4 linked regions of the Caenorhabditis elegans genome follow. The protein of the gene in region 2 interacts with the protein of the main gene of each other region in a biochemical or structural test. Each region holds a gene or a part of one and is shown on either strand. Other genes may lie near its edges. The genes, in order: mpz-1, vang-1, lin-7 and stn-2.

What was found.
Region 1: the proteins of vang-1 (region 2) and mpz-1 form a complex in vitro, tested with the Caenorhabditis elegans proteins (one study listed by BioGRID).
Region 3: the proteins of vang-1 (region 2) and lin-7 form a complex in vitro, tested with the Caenorhabditis elegans proteins (one study listed by BioGRID).
Region 4: the proteins of vang-1 (region 2) and stn-2 form a complex in vitro, tested with the Caenorhabditis elegans proteins (one study listed by BioGRID).

Annotation. Positions count from the first base shown.
Region 1 is NC_003280.10:10,775,125-10,780,140, reverse strand, and holds the start of mpz-1 (PDZ domain-containing protein), read left to right. Parts: upstream 1-2,014; coding exon 2,015-2,067; intron 2,068-5,016. Other genes in the region: ect-2 (Protein ECT2), read left to right, coding at 1-108, 157-232, 327-468, 531-660, 1,049-1,199.
Region 2 is NC_003284.9:2,884,003-2,891,214, reverse strand, and holds vang-1 (Vang-like protein), read right to left. Parts: upstream 5,358-7,212; 5' UTR 5,344-5,357; coding exon 5,188-5,343; intron 4,376-5,187; coding exon 4,242-4,375; intron 4,192-4,241; coding exon 4,059-4,191; intron 4,007-4,058; coding exon 3,788-4,006; intron 3,021-3,787; coding exon 2,578-3,020; intron 2,234-2,577; coding exon 2,015-2,233; intron 1,964-2,014; coding exon 1,795-1,963; intron 1,040-1,794; coding exon 914-1,039; 3' UTR 534-913; downstream 1-533. Other genes in the region: B0410.3 (Neuropeptide-Like Protein), read left to right, coding at 1-104, 165-344.
Region 3 is NC_003280.10:14,345,334-14,350,564, reverse strand, and holds lin-7 (Protein lin-7 homolog), read left to right. Parts: upstream 1-1,772; coding exon 1,773-1,973; intron 1,974-2,491; coding exon 2,492-2,649; intron 2,650-2,708; coding exon 2,709-2,784; intron 2,785-3,208; coding exon 3,209-3,403; 3' UTR 3,404-4,721; downstream 4,722-5,231. Other genes in the region: elof-1 (Transcription elongation factor 1 homolog), read right to left, coding at 85-223, 273-388; Y54G11A.17 (L51_S25_CI-B8 domain-containing protein), read left to right, coding at 1,159-1,323, 1,370-1,579; Y54G11A.9 (Core domain-containing protein), read left to right, coding at 4,840-4,953.
Region 4 is NC_003284.9:7,675,970-7,682,368, reverse strand, and holds stn-2 (PDZ domain-containing protein), read left to right. Parts: upstream 1-1,749; 5' UTR 1,750-1,844; coding exon 1,845-1,880; intron 1,881-2,024; coding exon 2,025-2,097; intron 2,098-2,533; coding exon 2,534-2,667; intron 2,668-2,712; coding exon 2,713-2,776; intron 2,777-2,828; coding exon 2,829-2,894; intron 2,895-3,415; coding exon 3,416-3,512; intron 3,513-3,941; coding exon 3,942-4,005; intron 4,006-4,059; coding exon 4,060-4,208; intron 4,209-4,294; coding exon 4,295-4,463; intron 4,464-4,886; coding exon 4,887-5,012; intron 5,013-5,065; coding exon 5,066-5,131; intron 5,132-5,176; coding exon 5,177-5,341; intron 5,342-5,386; coding exon 5,387-5,479; intron 5,480-5,527; coding exon 5,528-5,647; intron 5,648-5,691; coding exon 5,692-5,817; 3' UTR 5,818-5,858; downstream 5,859-6,399. Other genes in the region: mfsd-8.5 (Major facilitator superfamily (MFS) profile domain-containing protein), read right to left, coding at 6,240-6,332, 6,379-6,399.

The sequences.
Region 1 (5,016 bases), on a different chromosome or scaffold from region 2:
GAAGATCTTGAGTGATTGTGGGAGATTCTTCTACTCGTCGGATCCATCAGATATGAATGAGATCAACGATGCGATGGTTTCGGATATGACAACTCGATACTTTAGAAAGTAGGCTTATTTCAGGTTTCAAGTCTTTAGAAAAAATCAAAATTTCAGTCTTTGCGGAGCGAAACCACAATATGGACACGGCAGTCAGATGAACATTACGGTCAGTGAACGATCTACACAAAACGTGAGAAATGAAGTTTGATACATGAGTGGAGAAATTAAAATTGTCCACAGTGTTACACCTAACTTGAATGCTTATATATAAACTTTTATTACAGGAATGGTCACACAATGAGTCGTTTATGCCACCACCACAGTCACAGAGTCGAATGCGACGAGCGTTCAGTAATGCTCAACTCACACTTGCCACCACGCTGGGCTTTGGCAGAAATCAGAGTCGAAATAACTTGGGACAAATTAGTGCGTTTTTAGAAAATTTATTTTTTTTTCTTCTGAAATTGTATTTGATTCACTAATTTCAGACGAGAACACGACATTTCTGCAGTCTCCCAGAGTTTCGTGTGATCCAGCAGCTCTCGCAAACATGACGTCAGTCGGCGGATTGCCTGGATGCCAAAGCGAATCTGAATCGACGCCAAAGCGAGGAATTCGGTACGTCAATGCACCCCACAGATTTATCGGAGACAACACGTTTTCGAGATCTGTCCGAAAAGTCAATTTGAAGATCTACGGTTTCAGGATGTGGCACCGTGTCAACTAGAAATACTCGTAGTTTTATCGAAGAAAAACTTAACAATGATGCTCCTTTGTTGTCACGTTTTTCTTCGAGAAAACCACGAAAATTTCTAATTGGCACGGTGCCAGATCCTGAAGCCGTAGATCTTCACATTGTAGATATTCTTTTAGTAGATCTTCTTTTAGTAGATCTTCTTTTCGGCCGGATCTTGAAGGCGTGTTGCCTCATTCATTGACCATATTTTCCCATGAGTTAATGCCAAATTGACACTCTACATCTAACATATCCTGTTAGTTATTTCAGTTCTCGCCTCACCTCGACAACGTTCCTCGGCGGCCGACACAACATACTCGGACGAAACACGTCGATGCGCCGTCAGGCTACCGGATTTGCTCATTCGGAAAAGGAACTACCTCGCTCAAAAACATCTTCATATCGTGTCACCGATATCTGAAACTCCCCGCACCCGTGTAACTGATAACTCGAATCTCTCCTCCGACTGATAAATAATTCGTTCTCACTCTTTTCCGAGCTTCATACCTCCAGATGCTCACCGGTGTATTTTGATGGTTTATTTCTTGCTTGCTCTCAGCTCCCTCCCTCTTACATTTTTCATGTTTTCACCCGTAGTTTTTCATTTCGTTTTTGTAATTACAACAACCGAAACTACCGTAATCACCATCCACAACTACGACCAGATCCTTTGTATCATACTGATTTACCATTTACCACAGGTGTATTTTTCCCCCCAAATCGTCATTATCATCTTCCTGTCCCCGAGGCTTGTGTGACCATTGCTCCTTGACTTTTATTATTTCCCCGAAATCACTTGTATGCCATTCTTATCCGATACCCCTTTCCCCTTTTATTCTCACCATTCATTTGAATGGTCATTCCCCCACAGTAACGTTACGATTACTTTTTTCTTTTTTTTTGAAAATTCAAATTTTATTCTTGTTAGAAAATGCGATAGGGGGTTCAAATGAAATTACACCCTACTTGTCTTTAAGTCTTTGAACTCTCTAAAAACAAAGAAACAAAGATGAGATTAGTGAGAAAAAGGAAACATGGGCGGAGCCTTATAGATGGCCCCTGGAGATTTCATATCTTGGAGCACATGCCGCTTGGCTTTTATTCATTCATTCCGAAACACGTCTTGGCCAGGATCCTGCATATTAGTATATTTTAAATTCAGATTTTTAAATTTTTTTTATCTTCTTAAAATTCGAGCTAATTAATTGTGATTCAGAATCTGGAATACATCATTGAATGATCGATGAGCCAGAGGATATAATAGCAGTTGAAGATGAAGCCGAAAGAAGGTAGGTCTGAAAAGAAAAAATGATTCGAAAGCGAGAAAAAAGATGTGCGTCTTTAATAAGTACAATAACCCGCAGATTCCCGTTATTTCGATAATTTCTCGGATTTTTCCACACATTCTTGCTAGAAAAATATTTTTTGTTCAGAAACAAAACTGAAACTTCTGGTAAAAGTGAATAAAATCGAAGAAAAATGGAAAACGCCGCAGCTGGGTTACTGTACAATTTAAAGGCGCGCACACTTTTCGCGCAGCCTCCAAATTTTATTGGGGAAAATCGCTAAAATTCGCAATTGGATAATAAGAGACTGTTTGAAAAACTTTCTCATACATTTTATCAGTTGATTTGGGGCACGATCGCGCTCCACTGCCAAATTAAAACGCCCCGCCCCTAAACGTTGGGTCTCGTTAGGAATTGGCGGCAAAACTAGAAATTCGAACATTTTCAGTCAATTTTCGCCAGTTTCGTTTTTAGGCTGTTTTTTTAAAATTATTTGTATGTTAAAATTGATGAAATAAAGCTGGTTATAAGTTTGGTTATAAAAAGCTGCGGCAAAAAAAGGGGGAAAATATATTTTAATAGAACGAAGGAAATGCAATGTCTCAATAATATAGTTAGACCCTTCATTTTGTACTCCATTTTTGGTGTCCCCCCGTCCAGAAGGAGACGTCTTCCTTTTCTTCTGCTTCTTCTTCTAATTATGCATCTCCTCTATACTTTTCCTCATCTTTTTTCTTCTTCGTTTTTTTCCTTGGTCCCATCTTTATTCCAATGTTTCTTTGTGTAGTACCACTACCATATGTTGTTCTTTTAATACACTTTCCCTCCTTTCTTGCCTCATTTTTCTTCATATTATAGACATGGTGCATCATGACTTGAAGCATCATGCACCCCCAAAAAAGAAAAAAAAGTAAACTAAGTCGAAAAAGTTTTCGAAAAAGCCCTTTTCCCTGATTCCTATACAAATAGCATTGTGCCAAGTGGACGTTGTTTGGTGGGAAAAAAGGTGCATAGAGAAGGGCGGGGGTCCCGGAGCCGGCTCAATGTTACATCCGTTTCGGAAGAGTTGAAGTAGACAAGGAGAAAGATGAATTTAAGGACTCTTGGGAACTACGCTAGAACACCTTTTCGCTTTTGTTTTCGGAAGTATAAAAAAAAACAGAAAAACTTAAAAAAAATAGAAACTTGATTTAAGCATAATGATTTTTCTGTACACAGAACTGTTATGGGGTTATTCAAGTAGTGTCGGAAAATTAAAAAGTGTAGAAAAATTACGTCACAACCTTATTCAAGTATATAAAAACATGTATTTAAATACATTTGTGACGTCACAAATGTATTTTAATACATTTTGCTACATTACTTGAATAACCCCATTACTCCAAAAATACGGTACCCGGTCTCGGAACGATAATTTTTTTGTTAATTTCAGACTGGTATGCGTCTTTAAAGTGTACTGTAGCCACAAACTTTTCTCATTGCAGATCGATTTTTTAACGCCTGTAACAATGTATATATGGGAAAGAAAAGTATTAAAAATCGATGAAAATTCCGCAGCAACAAATGTTCGAATTTACAGTACTTTTTAAAGGCGCATACCTTTTTGAATTTGAAAAAATTGTCGTGTCGAGACCAAGGACCGTATTATTGAGATAACAATCCGAACGCTTTGGCATCGGGGCTCCGGGAGCTTACCTGAAACCTTTCATCATCTGGAAGAAAACCTAAACTTTCCCGTTTTCCTTTCTGGAAGAACAATATTTCCGAACAGTTGCTTCATTGTTTATAGTTTTGGAAAATAATATTATAAGTTGCCGTATCTTTTTGTTTTCTTTCAACAAAAGATTCAATAGATTTGATTTAGGGTTGTCATACTATTTTCTACCATACGGTACCTACAGGCTTCACCCAAGTAATTAGAATTTTCGCATTCCTCTAAGCTTGGCTACATTTTTTTGTGAAGGCATTTTACAGGCGAGTGACGGGTGACATTCTGTCGCGCCTCAGTAGAACGCGAAGACGGGTGTTTCCACCTGAACCTTCTCACCCAATATGTAACTAACTTCTCAAAAACCAATCCTGGCTTCCACAGGACATCGATTCTCACCAGTTTCTCACCCGTATCAATCGGATAAATCTGGTCTTTTCTTCTTCTTCTTCTCAAGATGCTACTAGCCACCAACACAGAGCACGCCTACTCTTCCTCTCCGTCCGTCTACTCCGCGGCAGCTCCTCCGCCGCCAACTCCTTTTCTTTTCTTCATCTGCTACTTCTTCTTCTTCTTTTCGTCTTTCTGCTCCAACGCAAGACGATAGCTCAATTATCCACAAACACACACACACACATGGAGAGAAATACACACACACAAATGCATCACATTCGCACTCCGGGGAGGAATAGAAAAATAGACGTCGTGTACTTCCAGATTCTGGTTTTTTCTGATTTATGACAATTTTTTCCATTTCTGTCGTACAGTATTTTGTTTAACATTTTTTAAAAATATCTATATGCTGTCAGCACTTTTCATTCCGCCTCCAAGTTTAATAATTCCCCAAAGAACTTTTATCAATTATCCCTAGAAATTTGTTCTCTACAACTAATGTCGGCGTAACAGTCATGCGTAGGCGTTTTCGGCGTGAGGCAGGCAGAGGTCACCTTCAGGTTTGCCCTAATTTTGGATTTTTTGGCCTATTTTTCGAATTGCTTTTTTCCAACAAATGGATAGTTTTCAAAATGTGAATTTTAAGTAAAGATTTTTTTGAAAAAAAAAGAAGCTGGTCGCCTCGATGATTTGAGACCTTGGATAATCAGCTCGAAACTGGTAGATTATGTTTCGATATGAGTTCGGTTATGGATGGTTACTGTACACTATTGCTGGAAAACCGGACGTACACTTTACGTACACCAAAATCATGCCAGTCTTACTGTACACATTTTCAATATTCCAGAACA
Region 2 (7,212 bases):
GTCTTCTCGATGCCTACAGATCTGAGAAATTGACGCGACGTCGGATAGGAATGCAAAACACTGATTTCCGTCCGATTCTTCATTTGCGCGGAGAAGATGATTGGGTAAGTCAATACTTTTCAATTTTTTAGATTTGAATCGGTTTTCACCAATACTGTTTTCAGCAAAAACAAATCAATGACAACTTCTCGCCCAACCAGTTCATGGATGAGAACGGTATTGTATATGATATGGATCCCACGATCAACGACAGAATTTCCACGTTTTTCAATAGTCAGAGAATCACCAGCAGTAGATTTGGAAGGAAGAAGAGAAGCTTGATGTTCCCGAGACTTTTTGTGTAATCCAACTTAAAACTATCTTGTTCGCATTTTTTTTCATATATCCGTTTCCTTCATTTTTCATAGCGTACTCTCGATTTGACATGTTCTCTCTAGTGATGTGTTACGGGTATTTCCTGATGTACATCTAATCAACATGCTAAGTCAGTCACACTCAAACAAATATACCACCTCTGATCTCATAAAAATGATTTTTCTTTCCATGATGTATTTTTTTTCTTTTTTTAAAATCAAATATACATAATAAATAATCACTTTTTTATTAAGAAAAACTTAAACTTGAATAAATTATTCATATCATATTGAAAAGGTACCAGACCATAAGTCAATGTGAAGAAACTTAAAGAAAAATAAATACTCGAAGAAGTAAGTGACGCAGCGCGATAGAGATGTCAAATGTCAGTCATTATCATCTCGGTCAGATGAGGAACCCGTACATAGAAACAGCATGATGTAGAATAAAAGTTGAAGAAAAGAAGCTAACAGGTAAAAAAAATTTTTTAAAAAACTGATCAAATCAAATGGGCATTTTTTTGGAAGTTTACTTGATGGCATGATGACTAGCCCACAAATCAAACTGCCGACTCATTGCTAATTTTTAAGGAAAACTTTTCATTTCCAGGTTTGGCTTGCTCGGTCAAATTGAAGAACGGAATACTCGAGATGGTGCAAACAAGTTGAACTCCGCAGTCGATATCCTGAAAAAAGGTAATATTAAACGGTTTAGCAAGTCTGAGAAGTAACTGTTTTTTTTTCGAGCGAAGTTTGAGTGAATCTTTTCAAAAATTTTAAAAATTTTGATGGCGGTTTCAAATTTTGCTTGAGATGTACCTAAGTCAACAAAATAGCGTAAGATAACTTACCGAAATTTGCAATATAAAATCATTCAAAGGTACATGGGTTTAGCAGAATAAAATGATAAAAATTTGTTGCCAATCGGCTTTAAATAATGCAGAAATACCAATTTTCGGATTTTATTCGTAATATTTTTTGTTAAAGTGTTTTTGTAATGCTCTTGCAACCCTACCGACCGATCAAGCATTTTTTTTTGAATGCAAAACTACTGGAGGAAATATGGGACATACTACTGCTATGGTGCCAAAAATGCCAAATATAACAGAAAAACGTTTCGAACAAAATTGAATTATTTTTTCAAAAAGTGACAATTACTCAGTTTTGCCACTCATAATGTTGGAAGTAGATTTAAAAAGTTGTTTCTACTATTTTGTTTACTTCAATTTTGTTTTAAACATTTGTGTTCGAACTTTGTAAGTGTCCGAACATGCGAAATTGCTCTACATTTTTTTAATGCTTAGACTTTTCAAAAATTTGGCACTTTGCCAATACGTTGTAAAATTCAAAAAATCTTTAAAAAATTTTGGAGTGTTTAATTATGATATTCGGTCGTTTTAAATGTGTATTTAGCTTCAACATTAACTTTTCAAAATCTTACTGGGTTGTGCGATTTGAGCACTAGATACGTTCCGTGTTGAACTCCAGAGCTCACCGCCTCGTCGCAAATTACCGACCATTTCGATTCCCCGACAATTTCCCGTTGGGGAATACGGTCACTGAAGAAGCGTTGGAGAAATGTTCGATGAGACAACTTGAGTGTTAGGCATCTGAAATTTGAAAGCTTAATCTTTGAATTCTGTTTATTAAAAAAAACGTACCTTTCAATGTGCCTCGTAACTTCTCCTGAAGGATGTCTTGACTGAAGACGAGTAGTTTTTAAATATTTGGTGAGCGGCCGGACAATCCATGTGAATACGTTTTGAGCAGCGGTCAGTGAGTCCATCTGGTTGTTAATTCCAGGCTTTTGGTTCGTTCCGGACTCGGCAGTGTTCTGAACATGGGAGAATGCGTCTTCGGCGGCGGCAATTAGGCGATACCTGTAAAGATTTTATGAGTTTCGAAAAGAGGCCATTTTTAAAAGCTTTGAACCGCCATAATTTTTTTTGAACAATTTTCAGAACTTCTCAATAAAAATTTCCTTAATTTTAGGCCATTTTGTGTCCAAAAAATCATTTCGCTACCTCAACTCTAAAATATAATTCCAACAGTTGTGACAGGGAAAAGTGGACAAAATTTGAAATTATAGCTTTGAAAAAAGTAATATAATATTTAGGAAGTTGAAACAGCCGTTTAAAAAAAGTTTTAAACTTTTTTGAGAAGTTTCATTACAAAATTTGTTCAAAGTATCCAAATCGTTAGTTCTGAATTTGAAAACACTTACTTTCTCTTCTTTAACCGTTTTTCAAAATCAAGTTCTTCCTGCATCACTTCAGCATATCCACCAATCCTTCTTCTCGCCGCGGCTTCCATCAAAGCCCGCGTGTTGACTTCACTAACAGTTTCCTGCCCTCCAAATTGCTCGATATTGTACATCTTGAAGCCTGCGGTGCCTCCTTGCATTCCAGACTGCTTTGCAACCGCCGTCTGTCTGGCGTTGTCAAGGTGAATGTTGAACGAGGAGAATCGAGTTGTGTAGAAACGAAGAATCTCGGTGGCAGCTTCTTGAATTGAGCCAGCGCCAATGTTCAATGTATGCATTTCACCGTCTGGATCGCGAACAATAGTTACAATGAATTGGGCACGTAGACGACGAAGCTCGAGGAGCACAACAGAGAGATAATGTGTCCATAGAAGAGCGTCGAGCAGTGATGTGGAATAGGAAACCTGAAATTATGAATTATGATTTCACAATTTTTTTTCGAAATGATTCATAGTGAAGTCGAACAGTATACCCGCTTCTGAATTTTCGCTACAAATTATGAACTTAAAAAAAATGGTTCAACAAATAAACTGTTGCCTAAAATTTTGTCCACATGATAACACAAGTTTCAACATTTTAAAAGACTAAGTTACAGCGGCCGACACCTCGCGAGCCAATTTTTTTGCCACATCTCATGACTGTAACTCAAGAATGAACAGTTTTCATGAGCAAAGTTTTAGTAACAAATAATCCGCAAATAATTTTATATTGCATGTTATCAATCGTTTTTTCTTACGCAATCGGTAGAATTGAAAATTTCGGTTGAAAATCTGGTCATTTTTTTCAAAAATATTTTTAGGCATTTATTTTAAATAACTAATGTTTACACTTTTATTCACATTTGAACTGAAAGTTTTAGAACAATTTAACCTCCATTTTCAGAAATTGTTCACGATGAGTGCCGGCATTGCTACACCTTTAAAGGGACGTGGCAAAAAAAGGACTTACGAGGTGCCCGATGCTATATCTTTTGATTTCAATGACTTAATTTATTGAAACCTGAGTTATCAAGTAGACAACATTCTAGGTAACAGTTATGTAGTTGAATTTTAATTTTTAGGGTACCTAGCTTGTGCGCTATACTAATTTGAAACTATAAAAAAAGCCAGCAAAAAAATCCCAAAAACGCATATACTTTTGGCCACCACTGTGTTTGAAAAAAAAAACCTACGATGTACTTGTAGTTGTCGTATCTTTCAAACATTATCCTGACAATGTAAAAGAGCCAAAACGCGAACAGGATAAACATGACTAAAAATGTAAGCGCAGCTCGTACAAAGTACAACCTGGGCATGTCTGCCATGGCTTTCCTCCAATAAAGAACTCCAATTGCAATTACCAAAAAGATTGTTTTGATTGCCATTAAAAACAGGAGTCCTTCACAATCGACCTGCAATACATTATATTTTTAATGCGATATAATTGGTTTTCGAAATACTCACGTCACATTGAATTGCCGGCATGCTGAAGCCGAAACGTGGTGCGATTATAGGCAATGAACACATTATCGGCGCACTGACCACCGATATAATGCAAAGTAACGACGAGGCCAACAGCCAGACAAACCTAGAGCACCTGAATTTCAATAGTTATAAAAAGTGAAATTAGAAAAAAAGAACATTTACCGTCTTCCTATGACACGTCCAATTGGTGGGGTATAAATCACTTTTTCTTCCATTGTGAAAGAATCCGTCGTCATTCCAGTGAGCACGGTGGTGTTGTCTGCCCAGTCTTCGTTAGGTGGTGCAATCTTCTGGCCCTGCAAATGAATTATAGATGTACTCAAAAATAGATTTTCCAAAAGTGAAAACGCAAAGCGATAAGATATGTATATCGACTCGGCGTTTATGACATTTTAAATTTTAGATAAGATATTTGGTCGGCTTATATCTTATTTTGACACATCTGAACAAAGAATTTAAGGAGTTTCAGAAACTGAATTAAAAACGAATTTCGTAATAAAACTTCTAAAAAATATTTATGGGAGGTTCAATATTTCGAAAAAAAAGACGAATTTTTTTAAAAAATTCTCAAATTTTGGCCACGTTTCCGTGACACAGCAGTTTTTTTGTTTTTTTTTATTGAATATTTTGGTTGTTTATCTCACGGTATTTCATTTATTTATGTTTTTTAAAAACTTTACCAAATCTCTTCGTTCATCGCCTTTAAAATAATTAAATAAAGTTGAAAACGCAGGATAATTACATTGTATACTCAAAATTTTACGGAAATTTCAAAAAAAAAGATTCCAGCCGCAACGACATTGACGAGTAGGACAAATTTCAAATTTTAACTAATTTCAGGCCTACTTTTTAAGGAACTTTTTAAGCGAATAGATAATCAAAAATTACCTGAATTGGTTACCTACTGGCATAAAAATTGCCTGCTCAAAATGTGAAAAAATTAACCCTTTCTTTAAATTTTAAACCGACTAAAAACATTTTGAACACTGTTGAGAAGTTTCATTACAAAAAAAATGTGTTCATTTTGAGCACATATTGGTACCCAGAGCCGTTACTCCTCATTTAATTGAGTTTCATTTTAAAATGTATCTTCAAAAAAAAGGCTTACCTCACTAGCAATTGCAGAAAACCTCGGTATAAATGGCTCGCCAATTTCAGATTGTGCATATCTTGGTCGTAGTTGCTTCTTGTGTCCTTCATACCGAAAACCTCCAACGCAACTCCTCGTGTCTTTCGGAAGTTTCCTGTTATCTTGATACGACATGTTCCACCTGAAAAAAAAAATCTCTCCAAAAATTTTGATCCATTGAAAAGAATGAGATTTATAACATATTATATTTCATGTAACAAAAAAAATCCGAACGGAACGATAGATTGGCAAAGACAATTTGTGAAAAGAGATAAAACGAGCCCTTCGGGTTGCGCACACGCCGTCATAACATTTTCGTTCCACACACACACACACAACCGCAAGTAAACGATCCATCCACGATCAATGACAAACGAGTGGACGGAAAAGAGGGGACCCCGAAAAGAAAATAACCTCTAACACATTATGCAGCGTCCTCCTCTTTCTCCTTCCACTGCTTGCCCCAGCGCAACCCATTCGGCCAGTGTGTGCGTATGTGTGGTGTGGTCAGAGGCGAGCGGGGAATGGGAAGAGGAATGGTGAGTGAGCGTGCGTGTGTGTGTGTGTGTGTGTCTACTACTATCCGCTAGGCCGCACCAGATGCGGGGCTTTTCGAAAAACGGACCCCCGGACCGGAGCATCTTTCTTGTCACCCCTTGGAGCCGGTTTTCATCTCCCAATGGTCGTCAATTACATGCGACACTCATTGGTGATTTCAAAGAGCGGATTTGGGTAGAAGAAAACCGAAAAGTAAGATTTAGCTGACGGGCTCCTTATTTTGTGACGAAACATGTATCTATTTTAGGTACTTGTGTAATATACCTAGCTCAAAAATATGTTTCAATACGTTTTCCATTCATTTCTTTTAAAAATTACAATTTAAACAAAACGTGAAATTGATTTGTATTCTTAGGTTTAGAAAAACATTAATCCTTATGGACATAGTATAGAACATAATTACGTAAAATTTTCAAAATGATTAATATTTTAAATCCAGGTATACTTTCACAAGTACCGCATTTTAGATAGCTGAGAAAATCATAAAATAAGAAAATATGGCAACCTGGCAAGATATAAAGCTTTAGGACTATTGAAAAAGTTGAATTCTAAACAGCTCGGTACAATAAAATTAGCATCAATCCGTCAAGAGGTGAACGAAAAATGGAAAGACGACAAATCAGGGGTGTGCAGTAACAAAGATGAGTGGGGTGAAAATGGTGTGAGAGGCGAAGGTGTGCGCGCGCAGACACACCACTCCAAAGAACCACAACGGTTACGTAGATAACACAACAGTAGTGCAAATGGTAATTTCATTGGAGCACATTTGCAAGTGTAAGTGAAAATTGGGATCTATGCATCGATTGTTTAGTGTGACAATCGAAAGGTGCTAGAATGCTTCAACCGTAATTTTGTCAACGTTTTGTTGTTCTAATATTTATTTTTTGGTACTTGTGTAGCAGGAGCAAGCGACAAATTTGCCGAATTTGTCAAGTTCACCATTTGCCAAGCTCGGCAAATTTCAAAACAGTATGTTTGGGGAATTTGCCGAGCTCGGCAAATTTCGAAATTTTCCGCACACATCAAAAGTTTGAAAAACAATTTTGACTAAAACTACTGATTTTGACCTCAAAAATTTCAAAAAAATGACACACAAACTCACGGAACTTATGCAGAAACCAGATGTTTTTTCTGAACGCAGTAGTTTTGGTATGGAATAAATTGAAAAAATTCAACAACTCATTTCTAATGTATAACTTTGTTAAATCACAAAGAAACACTTTTTTTTCAAAAATTTTGTTATGTCTCTAATATGAAATATAGCATAAATAGGTATACATTTGTCAGAAGTTTGTATTCAAGAGTAAAAAAAGCCCCTCAGGGAAGGCAAATATCATAGTGAAAAACTCTAAAATGGCGGAATTGAAATTACCGGCAAATGGGCATACCAAAAAACTGCCAATTTGCCAAATTTGCGCGCAACCTCGGCACTTGCCGTAAGTTTTT
Region 3 (5,231 bases), on a different chromosome or scaffold from region 2:
AAAGCAAAGAGATCAACGCGATGGGGATTTTGGAGGCTTATAAGGAGGTCGTATAAGAATTTAAGATTGACGGATGGGGAATATTCAGGCGTTATTTGCCTGCTCACAGGCATCCACCCAATCAGAATAGACGTCGATTGGCTCGGAGAGGTAGTTGATGTTTGTTTGGAAGTCTTCAGAGCAGACACGACACGAGATATAACCGACATTCTTTTCGCGATCCCTGGAAAATTATTACGTTTTTTTTTGAAACGATTTTCCTTAGAAAGTACATTTTCACTTCACAAACGCGTTCATGATTGCAAAACGGACAGTTGAATTGGGTGTCGAGTGGCATTACAGCCTTTGCCTTGGTTGGAGCCTTTCTCTTCGACTTTCGCTTTCCCATTGCTGCGGATTGTTTGGATTGGTTCTGAAAAACAATTATTAAGTTCGGGAAACGTAAAAAGAACAGAATATTTTTGCAGAAGGTAAAAATATGTTCCAATCTCGAAAAAAAAGTTCGAAAATTACATTTAAATTGCAAGAAAATATACTAATATACAAACCACTCAAAAATGCGACACTCAGAAATACTATATTGTTTTTTTCTGTATTCTAAAAACTATAACGTATGCACAATGTGAAAATTTTTCGTGAGTGTCGGCTTGAAATTCCACATTTTTGGACTTCAAATTCACAAAATTTTTTGAATCATCAGGTTTTATATGGAAAATTTACCTATTTTGACACAAAACATAATATTTCTATCATATAAAAACGGCAAAAATCCGGCAAAAAGTAACACGAAAAACAGCCAAAAAAGAAATTTCGAAACAAAATTGGCGCGAGGAAGACAGTTAGATGCGCAGGTTTTCTCGACTACGGTCTGCAGTACACGTTGCGTACTGCGTACAAAAAATGTTGACCGTAGTCTCCAAAACAATTAAGCATTTATCGGACTTTCCGGAGCAGGATTTATTCATTTTATGCTTAAAATTAAACATTTCTCAATATTTTATCAATAAATTAAATGAGAAAATTGTTTAAATCGTTAAAAAGCATTAAATAATGCTGAAAAACGTTAATTTTCAATAAAATATCTTTCTAGTGATGCAATGCAACTCAAAATTATAATTTAACAATTAAAATTATCTAAATTCAAATTTAAATATTCAGATGGGCCTCAAGGGATTCACCGGTAGTTTTCAACAAATTCGCGGACTTCTACGACCACCAAAGAATCTCCCGTTCCGTGGAATTTTCCGGAAAGACGGAGAAGTTGTGCGAAAAGACGATTTGCTGGTGAATCAATTCAAAATGAATTATCATCCAGGGTTAAATGTAAGATTTATTATCAAATATCTTTGATTATTGAGAAGTTATTCAGGTTTACTATGAAAACGATCGCGGAGAACGTCTTCTGCGTGCCCATTGCGACGGAATCGTTCGTATCTCCCAGGAAAAATGCGATCCGGACTATGAAATTGAGGAGATGAAGGGATACGAGTATAGGAAAGACGTGGATTTGTACAAAATGACGTTCAATGTGATTCCGCTGGAATTGTCTCAGAAGCACACGCTGCGACATGAAATTTAAATTTAATTTTTTGTCGATTTTTTTTTTGGTTTTGTTGTGTTTAATAATTTTCTGACGGGCTATGGTCAATTAGAATAGTAAATAATGTTTTTCCGCTCTGGATAGCTTAATTTTGTAATTTTTAATTGGTTTTCTTGCCATTTTTACCTATTTCCGTCCTATTTTTCCCCTCCTTTCCAACCAAATCTTCCAGATGGATAACCCGGATGGTCCGAATTTGGAGCGGGACGTTCAGCGTATTCTAGAGCTCATGGAGCACGTTCAGAAGACTGGAGAGGTCAATAATGCAAAATTGGCATCGCTGCAGCAGGTGCTACAATCCGAATTTTTCGGTGCCGTCCGAGAGGTCTATGAGACTGTTTATGAATCAATTGATGCGGATACAACGCCAGAGGTTCAGTTTTTTTTGATAAAACTGACAAAAATGCCGGAATTGAAATTTCCGGCAAATCGGCATATTGCCGGAATTCAAATTCCTGGAAAATCGGCTTATTGTCGGAATTGATAATTCCGGCAAATTGGCAAACTGTCCGAATTAATACTTCCGCCATATCTGCAAATTGTGGTTTTGCACATTTTTTTTGGAATTTTCAAAATTTAAATTTTAAAAAATTCAAAAAGGCACAGTTTTAAGTGTTTCCGTATAATGAAAATCCCTACAAAAAATTCCGGAAAATCGGTAGTTCGGCGAAAATCAAAATTTTCGGCAAATCGGCAAATTGCCGGAAATGCAAATTATGGCAAATCGGCAATTTGCCGAATTTGGCAAAAAAAAAGCCGAGCGACAATTGCCGCCAACCTTGATAATTAAAAGTTGTCGAAATTTCAAATTGTAGTTTTTTTATTTTTCGAAATAATTTTGAGCCGTTTTTGAACAACAGAAAACAAAAAAAAACACTAAACATTTTTCAGATAAAAGCCGCCGCAACAGCTAAAGCAACAGTGGCGGCGTTTGCTGCAGCCGAAGGCCACGCGCATCCACGTATCGTTGAGCTCCCAAAAACCGATCAAGGGCTTGGATTCAATGTTATGGGCGGCAAGGAGCAAAATTCACCGATTTACATCTCCAGGTGCAGATATAAAAATATTTAATGATTTTATAATTTAAAAAAAACGATTTGAATTGCAGAATAATCCCTGGTGGCGTAGCCGACAGACACGGAGGTCTCAAACGAGGCGATCAACTTATTGCGGTCAACGGAGTGGTGGGTTAAATGTTTAATTCAATTTTTTTTTAGTTTTTTTCGGAAAAAAAACATCGAAAAATATTGATTTTTCAATGTTTTTCAATGAAAAAAAAATCTAAAAATTCATTTTTTTAAGCAAAAAACGAAACTTACTTTAATTTAAGTGTTTTTTTATCGAAGATTTCAGATTTTTAGTGTTTTTCAGAAAATAAACCGGAAAAAAGTAAAGGAACCAGTAATAAAAGACAGAATTTTTCGGTTTACGAAGATTTCCATATAAAAGAACATTATAAATTTTTCTTAATATTTTTTTTCGAAAAAATGAACAATTTATTCTCATTTTTTAAAATTGAAAACAACTACACTTTTAATTAGTAGAAGAATATAACTCGAATTAGAAAAAAAACTTTGATTCAAAAAAATAACTTTAAAAAAATTTCAGAACGTGGAAGCCGAATGCCACGAAAAAGCAGTTGATCTTCTGAAATCCGCAGTCGGAAGTGTAAAGCTAGTGATCCGTTATATGCCGAAACTCCTGGATGAAATGGAGCGGAGATTCGAAAGACAGAGAATTCGATCCACTCAGCAGAGTCCAACACTCCCGACGCCGTCTTCTTCGACAAATCCACGAAGATAAAAAAGACGGAACATTTGTAGAAATCAAGAATTCGAGAATTTTTGGAAAAAATACGAAAAAAGCCACAACAAAACTAAATGTTACGGGAACACTAAATTTCGAGAATGCGTACTGCGCAACATAATTGACGCGCAAAATATCTCGTAGCGAAAACTACAGTAACTCTTTAAAATATTACTGTAGCGCTTGTTTCGATTTACGGACATCATTTATTAATCGATGAAATATCGAAAGAAAACACAAAAAAAAGACAACAAAAAAACAAACAAAAAAATATATTTTTATTTTTTATACAAATTTGTGTTCGAATTGGTTTTTCGTTTTTTTTTTTGTTGTCTTTTTTATGTTTTCAAATGATGTCCGTAAATCGACACCAGCGCTACAGTAGTACTTTATAAAATTACTGTGGTTTTCTCTTCGAGATATTTTGCGCGTCAATTATGTTGTGCAATACGCATTCATGTGCTCCCGTAATATAGATAATGGACATTAAAACAATATTTCTAAAATTTTTGCATCAAAATGTTTTGAGGCCCCACGAAAAGGGGAGCAAAACGAAAAGGGGATCTGCAAAAAGGGGATCTGCAAAAAGGGGATCTGCGAAAAGGGGAGATACGAAAAGGGGAGCAACGAAAAGGGGAGCTGGCACTGTGCCAAACGCACAAAACGCAATTTTTCTCACGCAACGCACGTTGATTTTTGAAATTTTCTTCTAGAAGATACGCTTAACAACACGCGACGCGTAACATCGGAGCATCGTTGTATCGTTTTCTTCGAGAAAAATAGCGCTTGGCACAGTGCCAGATCCCCTTTTCGTTGCTCCCCTTTTCGTATCTCCCCTTTTCGCAGATCCCCTTTTTGCAGATCCCCTTTTCGTTCTGCTCCCCTTTTCGTGTGGCCTCAATGTTTTACTGCAAGAGTTCGCATTTTTCTGCAAACATTGATTAGTTTAGCCGAGAAAATAGAACTTTTGTAGCAATATTGAAAGATCTTTTCTTGAAACTGAAATTTTCGCTGAAAAGTTTGCATTTTCCACCATAAAATCCCTATTTTTTCTATTTTTTTCCAGTTCATGTATACTCATTTCTAACTTCTTCTCTTCTATTCTTTGTTCTAGATTTTTAGATATCCCTATATGTACATTATTATCTCTTTTTCCGTTTTCAGACAAATTTCCAAAACAATGTTAATCTCAACACTCACCCTCTCCCCAAATTATTGCCCAAAAATTGCTTTAATAATCTTGCTTTGCCTTACGTTCTTTCAAATAGGTGCTTTTCTCCATGTATCTTTAATAACTAAATTTTTAAAATAATTTTTTTTCATTTTTCGGCATTTTTAAAAAAATATTTTCCATGTTTCAAAAATCACGAAAATCTATCTTTTTGATGTAAAATTCAACTTTTTTCAGATTTTTTTTTCAGAATTTTCTCGAAATGCTCACACAAAAAATCGGCAGACTAATGGCTTGTACAGTAACCCGACAGGCTCATCGGATGCTCACCGAGCAAGAGATTAAAGTGACGAATAAGGCAGCGAGCAGGCTTAAAGTTAGTCTGTCCTTGGGCGCCCAATTTTTTTGAAAATTAGAAATATTGTAAATGGAAAAACGAGAAATTTCGATTTTCCAGTTTTTTTTTTCGGAAAAAAATCGGCACTTTCCTATTTTTCAAAGTTTTTCAAAGCATTTAATTTCCGGTGTTTTTTTTACAAAAAAATTGTATACTTTTGATTTGTAGTGCTTTTCAGAGAAACCCCGATTTTCAAAAAAGAAAGTTAAAAAATTTTGTGAATATTGTTCGAAAATTCAATTTTTTTCAATGACTAG
Region 4 (6,399 bases), 4.8 Mb from region 2:
GAAAACTTATTAGTTTTCTTTGAGTAAATTTAATTAGTTTTTTTTCTTCAAAGACCACATAACCAATTTTTCTGAAAAAGTTATGTTTAGATTTTCCAATGATAAAATACCTTGTTGACAAAATTTAAAAATAACAATTGATATCATCAACAAGGAACAGTCGATACATAGACACATTAGGGATTAGGACCGTAGACACCACGGGGACTGTACTGCGTACTATGCGCTGGAAATGACGCGCAATGGAGTGCAATAGAGACCAGCATATAACTATTTCAATGAAAATGGGAGATTACTTATTTAATAATCGGTATTTAGGTTTTATAATCTCACATTTTAAAAAATAAACTAATTTTTCCATCAAATTTTCCATATTAATAATACGTGATACACGTGTTCCTCTTCAAGTTTAAGTGGTTTTCCAAGAATAAAAATGCAAAAGGATTTCGAACATTTCCATTTCTGATAAATTAAAAAGGTGTTATGATTCACAACAAGGTTTAATAAATAACAAAATACGTGCGTACTTTGAAAACAGTTATATATATCTAATTTTTAAAATTAAAGTTCATGTATTTTGTCGTTTAATTTTTGACACTATATGAGCGGGTTTAAACAGTTTTCCTACTGAAGGTACTCCGTTTTTAATTTATATAACAAGAAGAGCTACAAAACACTTTGTGGTTTGTTTCAAGCAGAGAAAATGTGATCACACATATGTACTCAAAGAAAAAATCACAATTTTAGTCTCTCTTGATGACTCAGTTGACTAAAGGCAAAAAAGTCAGCCTCGTTTGCACAACAACGATTGTGAAATATATTCCGTTGCCTTTCTTTTTTGCCAGTTGCGGAACATTTTCATATGTGTTTGCGCCGCCGAAAATCGTCCATCATTCGAAATATGGAAAGCGAAACGATGTGTCTTTGTATCTTCAAAACGGCATTTCTCAATTGAAGCTCAATGGCTCATTGACATTCGAAGTGAAGACACAGTGTAGGGTCACGGCGCTAAAATGCGTGTTTTCCCATTGTTTTAATGGGGAAAAAGGACAATAAGAGTAGAAAACGGCAATTCGTCAAAATGATTGATTATATTCATCAATTAGTTTGCAGGAAACAACATGCAGAAATGTGGAAAAGATTTCAGTGAAAGTTTCAATTAGTTTGGAAAATCACTAACTGTTGAATATGAATAAACAAATGGAGAAAAAACAGGGATGTTAAAATTTTTATCAAAAGTCACTCCTCAAAAAGGTATTCCGTTGCGGGGAATCGAACCCCGGCCTTATGGGTGAGAGCCATAAATCCTAACCACTAGACCACAACGGAGATGGGTGAGCAATGGTCGCTGCTTAATGATAAGAGTACAGAAAACTTTGTGACTGTGAACAATGTGTAGAAAATTTTATCAGTCAGAAAGCAGCACGCGAAGAAATTGAGAAAAATGATGGTTGCCTTTCCGGCAATCTCTTTGGCAACAGTTCCAGAATTTCAGCTCTTATTTTATATCTTTTAATCAGTTTTCAGACTATGATCAAAACTTTGTTGGATGTTAAAAATATTGGATGACTCGTTTCTGATATTAAAAATTCAAACCAGCTGTTTATCATCTTGTTTCTCACTTCCTTCAACTGCTCGTTTTTGCTGTTCGTCTATGATTCCGCATCTTTTGCTGTTGTAATGTGTGTATTACACCGCTTCCGATGAGCAGATAGGATAGATTGGAGCTCGGGCGCTTCAAAGTTGACTCGTGTGAGGTGGCACACACACACGCATCTTTAGTCCCTCTAGTTCATTGTCCTTCATTTTTGCTACATTTTATATTCTCTGTTAAACAAGGCTAAATGTCCGTTACGAAATCACACCATAATCTGGATGTGGTAAGTTTAGCAAATATTATGAAATTGTTGGTTTTTAATGGGCATGTTTAATTTTTGTATAGTACATGCCAGCAATCTGAAGTCTTATGAAATACAAGACTTGACAATATGTTAAATGAAACAAATTCCAACAAAAAATTTCAGGTTCATCATGGAATAGTACTCATTAGTGATGGGAATGCCACTTCTAGATCGTCACGACTGCTTTTATCCAAAGGTAAGAGGAAATTAAAATGGAACTTGAAATAGAAATAAAATGGAACCATCAATTTTTGAATGTATGCATTTTTTCCACACTTCTCACATGGGGCCTATAAAAGCCGCACAATTTGCGAAAGCGAGAAGGGCCTGAAAAACGAGGAGAAATGGGGGAGAAAAACGAAAATAAAAGAAAAGTGTGCAATGACGGCCTCAACTAGTCGTGTGAAAACTTTATTAGGCAGCTCATGGCGCGGAAATTGGTGCCTAGCCTACAATTGAGTTGTTGAGAAAAGAGGAAAAAGCTGTCAGGGTCCCGCATCTTCGTTTTTGTCTTGCGCTTCCTTTGCGCTTTTAAAACTCCAAAAAAAATTTGGTAGAAATGACATGAAAATGGCATGAAAACTATATAAAAAGTCATCCAAAAAAAGAAATATCGTAACATATTCTTGCAGATGAGTTATGTATTCAAGTCATTGACGATGGTACCGCGGAGCCCGAAGAAGCCAAAGAAACATTTCTAGAAAATGCAACTCGGCAAGTTGTCATAGTTAAAAAACCAGACTCGGGGTTCGGATTGTCTATTAAAGTGAGCAATTGAACAGGACCGGTGTAATACTTAGAACTATTGCAGGGAGGATCAGAAAATGCACAAAACATGCCAATAGTAATCTCCAAAATATTCAAAGGATTGCCAGGTAAATCGTCAGATTTAAAATTTTAACATCTAGAAAAATACTTAAATTACAGCCGACGAATGTGGAGAGCTATTTATTGGAGATGCTATCGTAGAAGTAAATGGAATATCCATAGAAGGTGAGGGAAGAAAAAGAACGAGTAGTCTTCATTAGTCCAATCATTTGGTTCCCCTCTGGGAAATAGGAACTGAAAACGAATGAGCGTTCATAGCAAAGACCAAAAAGTTAAACTAGTTTTTTTTTAAATAATAGAAATAAAATGGAACCATCAATTTTTGAATGTATGCATTTTTTCCACACTTCTCACATGGGGCCTATAAAAGCCGCAACAAAATAACTTTTGGCAATTCACGTTCAAAAATTTAACATAAAAATTTAAAAAAAAAAAACAAAGTTGTATTGAATAATAAAACAAGTCATATGCTGTACTTTCCCTATTATACTTGCTCCTTCTCTGTTGGATGGGTTATATATGCCGTCCTAAGTTTCATAACAAATCAATTTTTTTTCAGTTGCCAATTAAAAAAAAACCAAAAAGAACTAACTAAGATATAAGCTGTCAAAATCAAGCAAGGGCATGATGGTACAAGTCTAATAGGGAAAAAAAACGGTAGACTATTTTTTCATATCAACTTCCAGGTCAAAGCCACGACGAAGTGGTTAACATGTTAAAATCAAGCGGTGACCAAGTAACTTTGGGTGTCCGCCATTTCACCCATATGACGCCGTTTCTAAAGTGAGTTTGGTTTTGTGGCGAAAAAAATTTGCTACTCAAGTCAGTCCCATGCATCGCCTTTCTTCCTATTTCCCGCTTCCTTTTTCGATTTTCGACGTGGCGTTACTTTGGCGAGAGGACACACAAAAAAAGTATGGTTGAAAAGAGTGGAAGAAAGAAGCATGAAAAAGAAGGAAAAGGACGAAGAAACATGAGTAGAAACAACTGATGGATTAGAGTGTAGAAGAGCTCTGCGCAGGGGGTGGTTTGAGGCAAAGCACGCGGAGCCTTACGCCATCCTCCCTGATGAATGCTTTTCACTGCATTTGAAATTCAAAAATGTGCGCAGTAGGCAAACTGCCGAGGGACACACAATGTTTTGCGCAGAGTATATAGTTGCATTTGATTTTATATCGGGGTACCAGAGACGTTGGAGTGACTACTTTTCAGACCAGCACAGTCATTGCAACCCGATGGAACATTGGATCAGCTGTTTGATGGAAGAAGTACAAGGGTAAGAAAAAATCCTAAGCTTCCATTTTGAAATTATTTGGAGTTTTTGCTTCAGAGCCACAAAGCGCAATCCGAATCCCGACTCTCCGACTCGAAATGGCAACAACATATTGACGGACGGGAAAAGAAATGGAAAACGTTGACGTCTCTTCCGTTGGCAATGGCTTATGTCACCAGATACCTCTGGGGAACCGACAATATCAGGTTTGCTTCAGATTTTATTTTCGTAATGAATACATACAACGGGGAGCTTTTTGTATTTCTTGTTCAACAAAACTAAAATTTTACAGGACAAACTCTTTCGAAGTTCGTGCAGTAGATGGAAGATCGTCGGGAATTGTGCATTGCGAAGATACATCGGCGCTGGAACAATGGATCTCGCACATCAGCAAACATATATTGTCGCTCAACCAAAAGAGTATAAAAATGAGCAACAAGTACTTGCATCAGAGTGAGCAGGTCAGTATGCAATGATATGACTTCAATGTTTGGTAGGCACGTTTGGTTGCCTTGAAACATCTGTTAAAAATACGACATCGGAATTAAAAATTAAATGTTTTCAGCACACATCAGATTAATGATCCAACATTACTGACTATGAAGCCGTTTTAGGTGTCCAGAGAATTATGGGTCGAATGATGTATTTTCTAAAAGCTAATACAATGGAAATTACGAATTCAGAATAAAACTTTGCTTAATCTAATTTTGAGGCAATTATTTTTGCTTTTGTCTGCTCGATTTAGGATACTTGATGGAAACATTGTTGTTTTTAAAGCCGACTATCTTGTTGAAAATTGAATATTCAAGAAAATAGTCAACTAGTAAATCTACTAACATTATGCACGGTTTTTGCAGTAAATAGTTTAAATTAATGTTTTTTAGATCAGCTACATTGGTTGGGTGAATGAATACTTGAATGATGATGATCAAGAAGAGCTTAAAATCCGCTGGCAACCTCGCTTCTTGATTTTAAAAGGCAGTGATGTCTGCTTCTTTGATGTTCCGCCGGTATGTTTTTTTTTTAATTTTTGAACTTATTTTACATGATTCTTTTTTTCCAGCTAAACTCTGAAGATCTCAACAAATGTGTCTACTTGTACAAATGTTATGATGTTGCTGTAAAACAGGTAGATTATCAAAAAAAGTAGTAATTCTAGAAGGGATATCTACAGGTCCCAAACTCTAGTCCACGAAGAGATAAGCGTGACAATTGTTTCTTAATAGAAACTCCATTGCAAGTTCCAAATCACTACCTGTCATTTGAAGCTGTATCTGCATTTGAACTTTTTGAGCAAGCATATTACCGAACCGTATACAATACCATTTCCCAAATGCAGGCAAGTTTATTTAAATTATTCAACAACAATAACAGTTAACTTTAGTCCCGAACGTTTGCCTGTAACTTTGAAGGAAGAGCCAGTGGAATCGTTTTTGACATTAAACAGGGAATTAGTCTATATGATATTCCTACTAAGGTAATACTATTTCTAACTGTTATTGATATTGATACAATTTATTTCTAGAGTTACATTTGGCAATATCGGTTCAGAGATTTACAAGCCGTTGCTGATGATGGCAAACTGTGTGTCCAGTTATCGTTCAATGATGATCGTTCATTGAATTCCGATAGAATAGAAGTAAAGGTTAGTGGTTTTGCAACTTTCCGAGTCAAGTACTCAAATTGCAGGACATCGAATGCGAAGATGTGGTAACAGTTGTATTCAACCTTCATTCCTTTGTTCTTGCCAGAATTGTTTCCACTGATCCAGACTATTTGAAGGCTAATCGTTATGTTGGAAATGCAGAGGACTAATGATTTTTGATTTTCAAAGCATAAATATTTTTTTGTTGTTGTTCAACTGTTGTTTAAAACAAAATTTGAATCATGAGTTAAAGCTAGGTTTTCAACATTTTTTTATTTCAAACTAAAAATAAAAACAATCTGCATGCCGTAGTCTACCTGTAACTTATGGACCAGTTTTGAGTCATATGCAAAAAATCAAAATTTCATTGAAAACATATGACTTTTTTCAGGTTTCTGGCACAATCAAATTGTCAATTTCAAAAATCCTTTATTTCAATAATCATAAATTCTAATTCTCAAAGAATTATATCGATAACAAGATAAAGACACGCGATGAGTCAAAATCAACCGGTTTCTGTTTGCCGTAATATTGCACTTACAACAGTACTCGAAAACTCAAACAAAGGTGAAATAACAAAGTAAAGAGTTGCCTAATTCAAAGGCTCAATCTTCTTCGTCTCATATTTCTCGAATGGAACCATTCTCACACGCAATATAATCCACGCACTAATAAGGACTACCAGCTGAAATCGTTTGGGTTTCTATTGAATTAACTGCAGCAATACTCACGTTCACAATTAGTATCAACCA